Arabidopsis thaliana: one gene and its partner. The protein of the gene in region 2 interacts with the protein of the main gene of each other region in a pairwise test. Each region holds a gene or a part of one and is shown on either strand. Other genes may lie near its edges.

What was found. The genes of interacting proteins can lie anywhere in the genome.
Region 1: the proteins of TSD2 (region 2) and RLP30 interact in a protein complementation assay, tested with the Arabidopsis thaliana proteins (one large-scale study listed by BioGRID).

Annotation. Positions count from the first base shown.
Region 1 is NC_003074.8:1,530,155-1,535,387, forward strand, and holds RLP30 (receptor like protein 30), read right to left. Parts: upstream 3,208-5,233; 5' UTR 3,107-3,207; coding exon 746-3,106; 3' UTR 514-745; downstream 1-513. Other genes in the region: AT3G05350 (Metallopeptidase M24 family protein), read right to left, coding at 1-102, 3,363-3,689; AT3G05365 (uncharacterized protein), read right to left, coding at 4,222-4,316, 4,414-4,553, 4,832-4,938. UniProt on the Arabidopsis thaliana protein: Receptor for microbe-associated molecular patterns (MAMPs) that induces a BAK1-dependent basal immune response to necrotrophic fungi (e.g.
Region 2 is NC_003070.9:29,432,300-29,438,522, reverse strand, and holds TSD2 (S-adenosyl-L-methionine-dependent methyltransferases superfamily protein), read left to right. Parts: upstream 1-1,848; 5' UTR 1,849-2,369; intron 2,370-2,677; 5' UTR 2,678-2,707; coding exon 2,708-3,396; intron 3,397-3,465; coding exon 3,466-3,595; intron 3,596-3,686; coding exon 3,687-3,927; intron 3,928-4,016; coding exon 4,017-4,230; intron 4,231-4,335; coding exon 4,336-4,511; intron 4,512-4,596; coding exon 4,597-4,900; intron 4,901-4,971; coding exon 4,972-5,113; intron 5,114-5,191; coding exon 5,192-5,350; 3' UTR 5,351-5,694; downstream 5,695-6,223. Other genes in the region: AT1G78230 (Outer arm dynein light chain 1 protein), read right to left, coding at 6,007-6,223. UniProt on the Arabidopsis thaliana protein: May be involved in the synthesis of homogalacturonan. Required for normal cell adhesion and plant development.

The sequences.
Region 1 (5,233 bases), on a different chromosome or scaffold from region 2:
CCATAGAGCTGCCTTATCCTTGGTGACAACAGCGGTACCAGCACTTCCAGTAAATCCTGATATATAAGCCCTCCTGGCATAGCACTCTGCGATGAACTCGCTCTAGTACAAAATATGGAGAAAAATCACACTCAAGCCATGAAAAACTCAGGCAGTTTATGGATACATTTAGAAGTAAAACATAAATTTGTGACTTTCCTAATGGCACAGAAATATATTACAGGCAACATCAGTTATGAAAGTAGATCTTAAGCTCCTAGTATGTAAAATTCACCGAAACAACACATTACCCATATCAAAATGGCAAAAACAATTGCATAGATGCATAACAACCCCCGCACTGGTCCAAATCATATTTATTTTTTATCTTGAATCTCCAAATCGAATTTGGTATACTCAGGGACAGCAAGATTGACGTGTGAGCGGAGCAAGAAACTTTGGGGAGAATGAAATAAAACACGAGTTGGAGAATTTCATACTGTGATTTAGAAGAAGAAGAACTTCCATTTGGCTCTACAATTGAAACATCCTCTTATGACAAGTTGAGATTTGACTAGGAAGAAAAATCTGAATGCATTTTCAACCCAACATATAGAAGATCAGATACCACCAAAGCCGTTTCTTACAATACCATAAAGTAGAAAATTACAAAGACAAAGAGTTTATGCATAACACAACTGACAGATATCATAACAAACATATACGTTTCACAATCACTCAGAGAAATTGTGAGAGGTGATGGTGTTCAACGAGCACTTGTGGTGACTACTCTGCGCTTGTTTCGATGGAATTTTTCCATGAACCACTCGTGTTTGTGTGCAGTAAAGAAGATATGTCCAATAACTAATCCACAAAACACACCAGGTCCGTAGGCTATTGCCGCTGCTATCCAGTTAATCACTTGTTCTTCTGGTTCCGAAAATTCCTCGGATTCTAGTGGTGTAGAACTCGGGGCATGAGCTTTTCCACAGATTTTCTCAAGACCGTAGAGTCTGAGGTTGTCCATGAATGTAGAACAATGTTGGCTTTGAAACTGAGTGCCTAGTGGAACTGGACCTTCGAGAAGGTTATGGGAGAAATTCATGGTCGACAGAAAAGAGAGGCTACCAAGATCTCGAGGGATGTGACCTGATAGCTGATTCCGGGATAGGTCCAATGTCTCAAGATTTGTCAAATTTGCCAATGACTGAGGGATATTGCTTGTGAATGAGTTACCTGACAAATTGAGAAGACGCAATTCCTTCAACAAACCAACGGATTCAGGTATATTCCCAAAAAATCTGTTTCCAGAAAAGTCAATGGCTCTGAAGAAATATGGGATCCGCAAGAAGTCCGTTTCTACTCCTTTATATATCATAGTCATCGAATTACTATGGCTGAACTCGGGCCCTTTCTCGCCCATGTACCAATCCTCTGTACCTATATTAGAGCCGTTTTCTTCTAAGACAGATGTCACCATCTCACGCCAATTGGAGAAATATAAAGGTGACAAAGTTCCACTGAAGCCATTCTGTGATATATCAATGAGTCTCAAATGTTGAAACCCAAAAGATATGTGGTCATAATATAACGACCCATAGAATGCATTAGATCTGAGGATGAGGACACGTAATGATGGCAAAGAAACCAACCAGGATGGAAAAGTGTCCTTGATTATGTTGCTTCCCACATTCAGAAGTTCCATACCAGTGCAATTGATCAGGGATTTTGGAAGTTTTCCCTCCAACCGGTTGTAGCTAACGTCAAGTGATAATAACATGCTAGCATTGACAAATACGTCTGGGAGAAATCCGCTGAAGCTGTTGTTACGCAGAACTAGCCCTTTAAGCCAATAAGTGGAATTTTTCAAACAAGGAGGAATTGAGCCGTTGAAGAGATTGTTGGACAAGTCTAAGTACTTTAAGAACCTTTGCTTGCAGATCCAATGGGGAAAAGGTCCTCCAAGTGAATTCGAACCAAGATCCAACTCCTGCATTGATTCTCCATCCAAAGCTCCGGATGATGACTTTCCAAAACTGTTGAAAGAATTGTGGGAAAGTGTCACTGTCATCAATCCCCATAAGCAACCTGGCACTTCGCCTTCCAAGGTATTGTTTGAAAGACTAAGATGCTGAAGGTTGACCAACTTTGATATAGAAGTGGGGATTGGCCCAACTAAGTTGTTGTGGCTAAGATCTAGTACTATGAGACTGTGAATTTCAGATATATATTCAGGGATTGGCCCATCGAATTTGTTATCAGCAAGGTTTAGATCCCAAAGCCTAGAAGATGAAGATATATTCCCAAACTTTATAGGTCCCATGAACTGGTTTCCTTCCAAATAAACAATTTGTAACGAAGGAATCGTGAATAAGGATGTAGGAAAAGTCCCGACAAATGAATTCTCACGCACATCAAAATATTTCAAGTTGTGGAGTCCACTCATATCAGATGGAAGCGTGGATTTAAAGTGATTAGAGGCAACGTTTAAGGAGGACAAGCTGGTTAAATTTGGTAGTATGAAAGAGAAATTTTCCAATGTGAACTGATTGCTAGAGATGTCTAAACTAGAAAGCTTCGTTAAATTGGTAAATGAAGTAGGAATGTTACCACTAAAACTGTTTTCGGAAAGTAAAAGGTCTCTAAGTTGGTTTAGCTTACTGACCGAAGCCAGAACTTCACCTGTCAGCTGATTACTCGAAAGGTCAAGATGCGTGAGACGAGAAAGGTTTCCTAGTGAAGAAGTAACCTCTCCATAGAGATGGCAATCACTGAGAGTCAGGTTCTGGAGTTGTTGGAGTTTGAAAAGACCACTAGTTGGTTTCAAAGAGTTGTTGAGAAGGACATAACTAAGGTCAAGTGAAACCACCTCGCCAGATTCATCATCGCACGTGACACCCTCCCAAAAACAGCAATCACTAGTCTTGTTCCATGAACTCAACGATGGACTTGGCTTCGATTCACTTACCGGAAACTCGTGTTTGAACTCGAGAAGAGCATCCCTTTGGTCATGGCGGCAATAGTGAAGCCTAGAAGAAGCAAGAGTGCGTAGAACAAGGGAACCCAGGAGGAAGAAATACAAGGTAATAACACTACCAGAAAAGGAATTAGATTGGCTTGGAATCATTTTGTTTGTTTTGTAAGTAACAGGTTATGATAGCTATGGCTTCTACGTCTCTATTTAGAGAGAGAGAAAAATAGAAAACAAAACACAAATTTGCAGCTCTCTAGTAGACTTCTACCTACTCCTTTCTATAGTCAAACTTGCCCACTTGGACCAATAATTGACTTAAAAACACACACAATTGAACAGTTTTGAATCTACTAGAACTTCCTATTCAATTCGTAATCACGAGTTAAGAAGAGGTTTAAAAAAAGAGAACCTGATGTGCATCTTGTGAAGGTATGATATAAGCGTCGATTCCAACACCCGGCTCCGAAAACAGTCGCCGGATCGAGCTAAGCTTCTCGTCGACAACTACTTTGGTTTGAGCTTTACGAATCTCTTTGGAAGACTTTGCCGTGAAGGAGGAAGAGCTGCTGCTGCTGCTACTAGCATGACACCTTGCGCCAAAAAGAGGTTTATACGGTAATTTCCGGTGGATCAGAGAGAGCGAATTGAAATTGCTGAGAAATAGAGAGTGTGAGTAACGTGATGTGGATAAAACGAGCCGATTCAGAGACGGCGACGAAAGAGTTAGAGGAATCATCACCAGCGATTGCAGGAGAATCACACAAGAGGAGAAGCTTCTTGAGCAGAGTGATTACGGATAAATGTGTATAACTACTGAAAATTGCAAAACAACCCCCGTATTCTTTTAAATGTTGTATAATGTGCATGACTATTGATAATTACATTAAAATCCCAGACTTGTCAAAAAGAAACATTTTATTTTGAAACAATCTCATCAAATTCGTTATGGTAAAGGACAGCCAAGAGAGACGTGTGCAAGAAGCAAGAGTCTTTGGGTGCGTAAGAAATGTAAACGTGTTCGAGACTTTCATGCTGAGAATTTCGATTGGAATTTTGGTTTGACTTAGAAAGTTTTATGAGAAAGACTTAATACCGCCTGAATTAAGGGTTTCCACGAAAGAGACAAACGATAAATTGCAACCACACCAGAAAAGAGAAAAATAGATACTAATATTCTTTATATTGATAACCATGGGGTTTAGAATTCAAAACATATTTTGAGATATGAGTAGAAGAAGTTTCTGAATGCATTATCGAGCCAAGATTTATTACAAAACCTTGCAACAATGTGGTTTGGGACAAGAAGCTGACCATGATTTTAACCTGATAGTAAAACGGGCCTTGTCTCTTGACAGCTGAAAGTCTGAAACAAGATCATAATATTTCTCAAGCGCTGAACTAACACAAGTAAGGGAATGGAAGTGAATACTTGTTCTGAAGCAACTGGCATGAAAATGTACCTCTCAAGTATCTGGTTTTTTCTAATCTCCTTCCGTGAAAAGAAAGATTCTTAGGGTACCAAGGCAAAGGCTTGATTGCCTCCAATTCACCACTCTCTATGGCCTTAAGTATGCTTCTTATGTCTATCATCAATGAGACACTAGAAAAATGAAAGAGTCATGAATCAACCTCAGCCCGAAGAGATTTCATGAAATCATTCTCCAATTTCAATCAAATCCCATCACAAAATTGACCACTGAAGAATCAAAAACAGAGGCCACTTAGTCAAAAAAAACTCTGAAACTCCATAAACGAATCCCACTCTTCAGCTTTCACTATCCTTTGTTCCTTACACAACTTCACAACAAGACATTACAATGGTGTTTATTAGAAGTAAAGTTTCAAAATCCATGGAAGCCATTGATTCTATTGAGGTACCTTGTAATACTCCTCGAGTCCTCATCCTCGAAATGAAGATTTGAGCAGATGGGCTTTTGGAGGTTGGAATCAAAGGAAGCATCGGATTTGAGGGGGTTTTCGAACATTCTCTTGGCTATTTAGAGTTGATTTCTCTTCCAAGTTGTGTCGTCTCCATTTTTGTTGTTACAGTGGCCGAGCTTTTTGTTTTCACAGCGATGGGTTTGATGGGTTTACATTGGTTTTGAAATTCAAATTGATCTCGGTTCGGTTTAATTTGGTTTAGAGAAGAAAACCAAAAAAAATAAGACACGCGATGGATTTTTGAGAGTGAGTTGCGTGGATCAAAAAAGGCATGATTTCTGTGGACAAACCCCTTTAGAAATCGTAGACACGCGCTCAACGCGACATGGGTGAGACTGG
Region 2 (6,223 bases):
TTCTGATTTTTTTGGCTGATTAATTAAGAAACCTACTTGTTTATTTTGCATTTATTTAGCTAAAAGTGGTTATATATATCGGTGTAACCCGTTTGAATAAACTACCAGTTCAGTTTTGAATGATGACATATATGACATTTTACGCAAAAATACCACGGTATTATTAGTTTTGTTTAAGTTTGAAGTTTTATAGGTTAACTGTATGTTTCGTTATCTCTTCGTTTGTTTGTTTTGTGATTAATCATACATTTCCCAAAACACAATATATTATAAATGCTGAATGGTACCTTGTGTCTGTTTGCATATTGGAAATTTCTGGAGCAACCTGATCCCTTCTCTATCAAAGAATTTAATTGATAATTAATCGTTGGCGATAGCACTTTTACAAACATTTTCCCTTTACTTGTCAAAAATAATTATCAAGCAGAAAAAAAGGAAATAATGAATCAATTTCGAGAATCATTGAAACAGATAGTAACAATGTTTTGGAGTTGTTTTGTTTTTAATTTCTCTTCAAAGTGAAGGCTAAGGACAAACGCTATGCGGAATAGTTTTCTATTGCGTATATATAGTCGATAATAACAATATAACATGGCTAATTTTGTGTTACATCAATCATCCAATCTTCATATATTGTGGCTTATTCTATATTACATTATTACAATAACATATATTTTACGTGGCTTTTATGTTCGTACGTTGTTTTTATGTGATGATGCTATGTCAAATCATCCGTAGTATCTTTTTTATTTGATGAGTACAAACATATAAAACAAAATTGCAAATATTTCACCACCCTCTTACACTTTATATATTTAGGTACATGCAGATTTATAAATCCACTAAATAAATATGCATGAGCTGTGAAACAAAACAACTCAGTGACTCACTCGACTTATATCATACGGAATATAAGAAAAAATCAAATGAAATTTACCAAATTTACCATAAAATACAGATTTTGAAGATCAAATAAAAGTAGAAAATCTTATCGTGAGTGGGATATTTAAAAGTACAAAATTTGCCTCGTATTGACACAATTTTAACCTTATCGTGGTTGGCGTGTACAAGTGGGCAACTGGTCTCCTAATAATGCGTTTGGTAATAAATGATCGTGATTCTTAGAAATATCTTTTTCGCAAAAACATTAGTCTATGGATAAGAAGATAAATTAACCAAATCGATGAGTGTAAAAAAAACAAAACCAAATCGAGGACATTTGTGAAGAAACTCGTCTTATTCCAATTAGGGGACGATCACTCGTTTTCTTGCGAGAGGAACTTGGCCTAAACCGACCATTTTTTTCTCATGGAATTTGATCATGTGTTTTTTGTCCTCCTTTAAACAGTTCAAAATTTGATGAATAAACTACAAAGTCAACATTTTTACACATTCAGATCTGCATCCAAAACACCCATATTGTACCTTCTATATTCATGATTCTTTTGGTCATAATCATGATGTTTTGTTTCCACTAAACTTTATGATGTTTATATAAATTCCATTGACGCTATAAAACAAGCTCGATACATCTACCTTAAAAAAGATCATTAACTTTTCTACATAAAAAAAAAACAGTCCCCGTAAAAAAAAATCATTTACTATCGACAAAATAACCTTTAGGAAATCTCATGTTTGACCTAACACATTTTTTCAACCGGTTCATTAATTCTATAAATGTCAAAATACTATTATTGAACATCTTCTAATATTTTTGGTCAACTACTACTATAAAGCATCTTCTAATTTTTCAGTCGACCAATTAGTGAACTTAATTAAAAGAAATAAATGTTTGTTTTTATGCACCGCCAAGATTTCATATATTTTTTTATGGGAAGAAGAAAGAGACAGAAAGAGAGGTAAAAAACATTAAAAAGTAGAAAGAAAACAGAGCGTGAAGTTAATACGATTATAGTACTAGTAATTAGCAGTAGATAGTACTAATTAGACATGTACCCATGGGAAGCTTCTCTTCGTTCTCCCCCCTTAAATACGCTTAGGCATCTCAACTAATTTACTCTCTTTCTTTTGTTTATATACCAAAGCCAACGGAAGTGTTTCTTAATTCATTTTTTGTTTGTTTTGGTTTAAATAATTCAGTGTCTCACGAGCTGTGTCGAGATTGGATCCATACAAAATCTGCACGACGCCTGCTTCTTCACTCTCTCCCACTGTTCCAGCTTCAACTCTCTTGATATACAGAGAGAGATAGAGATAAAGAGAGAGAGAGTGAGAGTGATAGCTCTCGGAGAAATTGAAGAAGACACAATCTGATTAGTATTCTCCAATATTCCATCAACTTTTTGCTGAGGGAAATCTCCAGATTTATAATCGTTTGTATATATATATATACAGAGCAGCGTAGAAAAGTACGATTTTTGCTTCTTTTCCTCACTCTTATTCATCTTCTTGATTTTGATTCGATTTGGTGTTTATTCGCTTGATTAATTTAAGGGTTGTTGGGGTTTTTTGTCCAATTTTTCTGGGTTTTCGTTCGATTTCGATTTCCACGAGTTTACCAATTTCGTCTCTCCTCAGAATTTGTGGATCTGCTTATGTAAAAATTGAGTCTTTTTACTTGTTTTGTTCGAATTTGTTTACAAACGCGTGATCTCGAGTTTCAGAGATCTCAAAGCTTAAATTTTTATAATCTGATGGACTTGTTTTTTATTTACAGGGATCTTAGATTTATAGCAGCAACAAAAAAATGTCAATGCCACTACAACGTGGCATCTCTGGAGTACGAGTTTCTGATAGCAGTGATGATTTGAGAGACTCTCAAATGAAAGACAAAACTGAAAGAGCTCGTTCTACTGAGAACAACAACTTAACCTTAAGGTTTCCTTTTGGTTTCCTCTTTAGTAATCAATCTTCTTCCAAACACGGTGGTGGTGGCGAAAACGGTTTTTCTGCTGATCCATATAGTGCAAGAAGCAGGCATAGATTGATGTTGTTGTTTCTCAAGATCAGTTTGGTTCTTATTGTGGTTATTGCTCTTGCTGGTTCTTTCTGGTGGACTATTTCCATTTCGACTTCTTCCAGAGGTCATGTATATCACAATTATAGGAGGTTACAGGAGCAGCTTGTTTCAGACTTATGGGATATTGGGGAGATTTCTCTTGGTCCTAATAGGTGGAAGGAGCTTGAATATTGTAATATAGAATCTGAGAATTTTGTCCCTTGCTTTAATGTTTCTGAGAATCTTGCTCTGGGTTACTCCAATGGTGATGAAAATGATCGGTTTTGTGGGCCTGGATCAAAGCAAGAATGTTTAGAGTTGCCACCGGTGAAATATCGAGTCCCTCTTAGGTGGCCGACTGGTAAAGATATAATCTGGCATTCTAATGTTAAGATTACTGCTCAAGAAGTTGTGTCTTCTGGTAGCATAACCAAGAGGTGATGAATCGTTGCTTCTCTCTTGCTAAAGTTGACTGGTTCCATTGCTAATGATGCATTTTTTTCCAGGATGATGATGATGGAAGATGATCAGATATCTTTCAGGTCAGCATCTCCTATGTCTGATGAGGTTGAAGACTATTCCCATCAGATCGCTGAAATGATCGGGATTAAGAAGGATAACTTCATAGAAGCTGGTGTAAGTCACACACACATTCGAAAGAGTCAATCTTTATCTATCTCATTAGTTCAGTTTCTTATTTGCTATTTTCCTTTTAATACTGTTTCAGGTGAGAACTATCTTGGATATTGGATGTGGTTATGGTAGCTTTGGGGCACATCTATTGTCCAAACAGATTTTAACTATGTGCATAGCAAACTACGAAGCTTCGGGTAGCCAAGTTCAGCTAACACTCGAAAGGGGTCTTCCTGCAATGATTGGCTCTTTTATATCAAAGCAATTGCCATATCCTTCTCTTTCCTTTGATATGTTGCATTGCTTAAGATGTGGCATTGATTGGGACCAGAAAGGTAACAGTTTAATGACACCCCAGAATGATTTTTTTCATGTCCTTAACCCGATGGAAGATCCAACTTTACTGTTTCAATCTGCTGTGTAGATGGGCTTCTCCTTGTAGAAATTGACAGGGTTCTCAAGCCCGGTGGTTACTTTGTATGGACATCTCCGCTCACAAACCCTCGTAACAAGGATCATCTTAAAAGATGGAACTTTGTTCATGATTTTGCTGAAAGCATCTGTTGGACTCTTTTAAATCAGCAAGATGAGACAGTTGTCTGGAAAAAGACTATCAACACCAAATGTTATAGTTCCCGGTCAGTGATTCACACACACCACTGTTGTATTACAGAATCTGCATATGGATACATTTATGGTTATTTATCAAGTCCTCTAAAAATGGATGCTTTGCCTATAAACAGGAAACCTGGAGTGGGCCCTTCTGTGTGTACCAAAGGGCACGATGTTGAGTCTCCTTATTACAGGCCGCTTCAGATGTGTATAGGTGGAACACGTAGCCGGAGGTGGATTCCCATTGAAGGCAGGACAAGATGGCCTAGCCGGTCTAACATGAACAAGACTGAACTTTCATTATATGGTTAGTCTCCGTAGTAACAAATTGCTTCTGAATCCATATGTCTGCAGTTTTTGTTATCTCATTTTGATTCCTGGGGTTGGTTTAGGTCTTCACCCCGAGGTGCTTGGAGAGGATGCTGAGAACTGGAAGATAACAGTGAGAGAATACTGGTCTCTCTTGTCTCCTCTGATATTCTCTGATCATCCAAAAAGACCCGGCGATGAAGATCCATCACCGCCTTATAACATGCTCAGAAACGTACTGGATATGAATGCTCAATTCGGTGGTCTCAATTCCGCCTTGTTGGAAGCAAGAAAATCAGTCTGGGTCATGAATGTGGTCCCTACAGCTGGACCTAACCACCTCCCCATGATACTTGACCGTGGCTTTGTCGGAGTTTTGCACAACTGGTCAGTTCAAAAGCCTTATTGGATTTTCATTTTAGCCATAGAAGTGTTTCTGAACATCTCTTTTTCTTCAGGTGTGAACCATTCCCGACTTACCCGAGAACATATGACCTGGTACATGCAGACAATCTCTTGTCGCTTCAGACAAGTCAGCCCCGAAAAACATGTCTACTTATTGATATATTCACAGAGATTGACCGATTGCTTCGTCCAGAGGTACACATTTGTTTACTTTGTAAAGAACATTATTGTTTCTTGTATTCTGGTAGCTATAATAAACAAAACTTTGTACAGGGATGGGTGATAATCCGTGACACGGCACAGCTGGTGGAAAAGGCGAGAGAGACGATAACGCAGTTGAAGTGGGAAGCTCGAGTAATAGAGGTTGAAAGCAGCAGTGAACAAAGACTTCTCATCTGCCAAAAACCATTCACCAAGCGACAATCAATCTGAAGAAGAAGAAGAACATAGACACAGGTTTTTCTCCACTTTTTTAATTTTTTTGTTCCAATGCCTCACATTTTGGAATCAAATCATCCAACTTGTGTTGGCGATACGGGGAAGAAAGGAGGAAGAGATGAAATATATATCCCGCCGGGGACGTAAGACCGCCGGTGAAATTTCTTTATCTGGTTCCGTGAGTTCCCATTTTACAGAATCTAGATTTTTTTTTTCTTTACAACTTTGGTTCTATAACAACTCTTATTATACAGCGAAAAAAGAATATGATTCAATATTTGTGAAGATGTTTATGAAATAAGTTCAAAGCTTTTTAGTAAATTTTCACTGAGTTTCTCTGTTTGTTCACCGAATCCGAGATACTTACCCAACATTGTACCGTACCGGAATTAACCCGAGATTAGTTACGATTCTTTTTGAAATTGATTATATGAAAAATCTCCAAAATTGAGTTAAACCGGAAAGTGTTATTCGGTTTTACATGTTTCCGAGAACCGGATCAACTAAAAAGTAAAAAGACAGTAAACCAGAATTGAAACCGAACCGGAAACATAAGCGTTAGAAAAGATGCTGAATTATAAAATCAAAGAATGGAGATGGCTTTGCAATTTGCATTGGCCAATTCATGAGATTCAAACAAAAAGAACAATTCAATGTGATGGCGTCCCTGCAGCTGAAGTTTTTCTTAGTTGACGTTGGCTTCTGTTTTTGGATCCACGTCCTTTTGCAATGTGGCCTCGGTGGTGAACGCTAGGGGAGGCTGATCCAACAACACTCTTGGTGGATGTTCTTTTGCGCCTGTGGTGCAAAGAATCTCCACCACCAAACGCAGCTCTCGCTACACTATCTTTGAGAACTTCCCTGGCT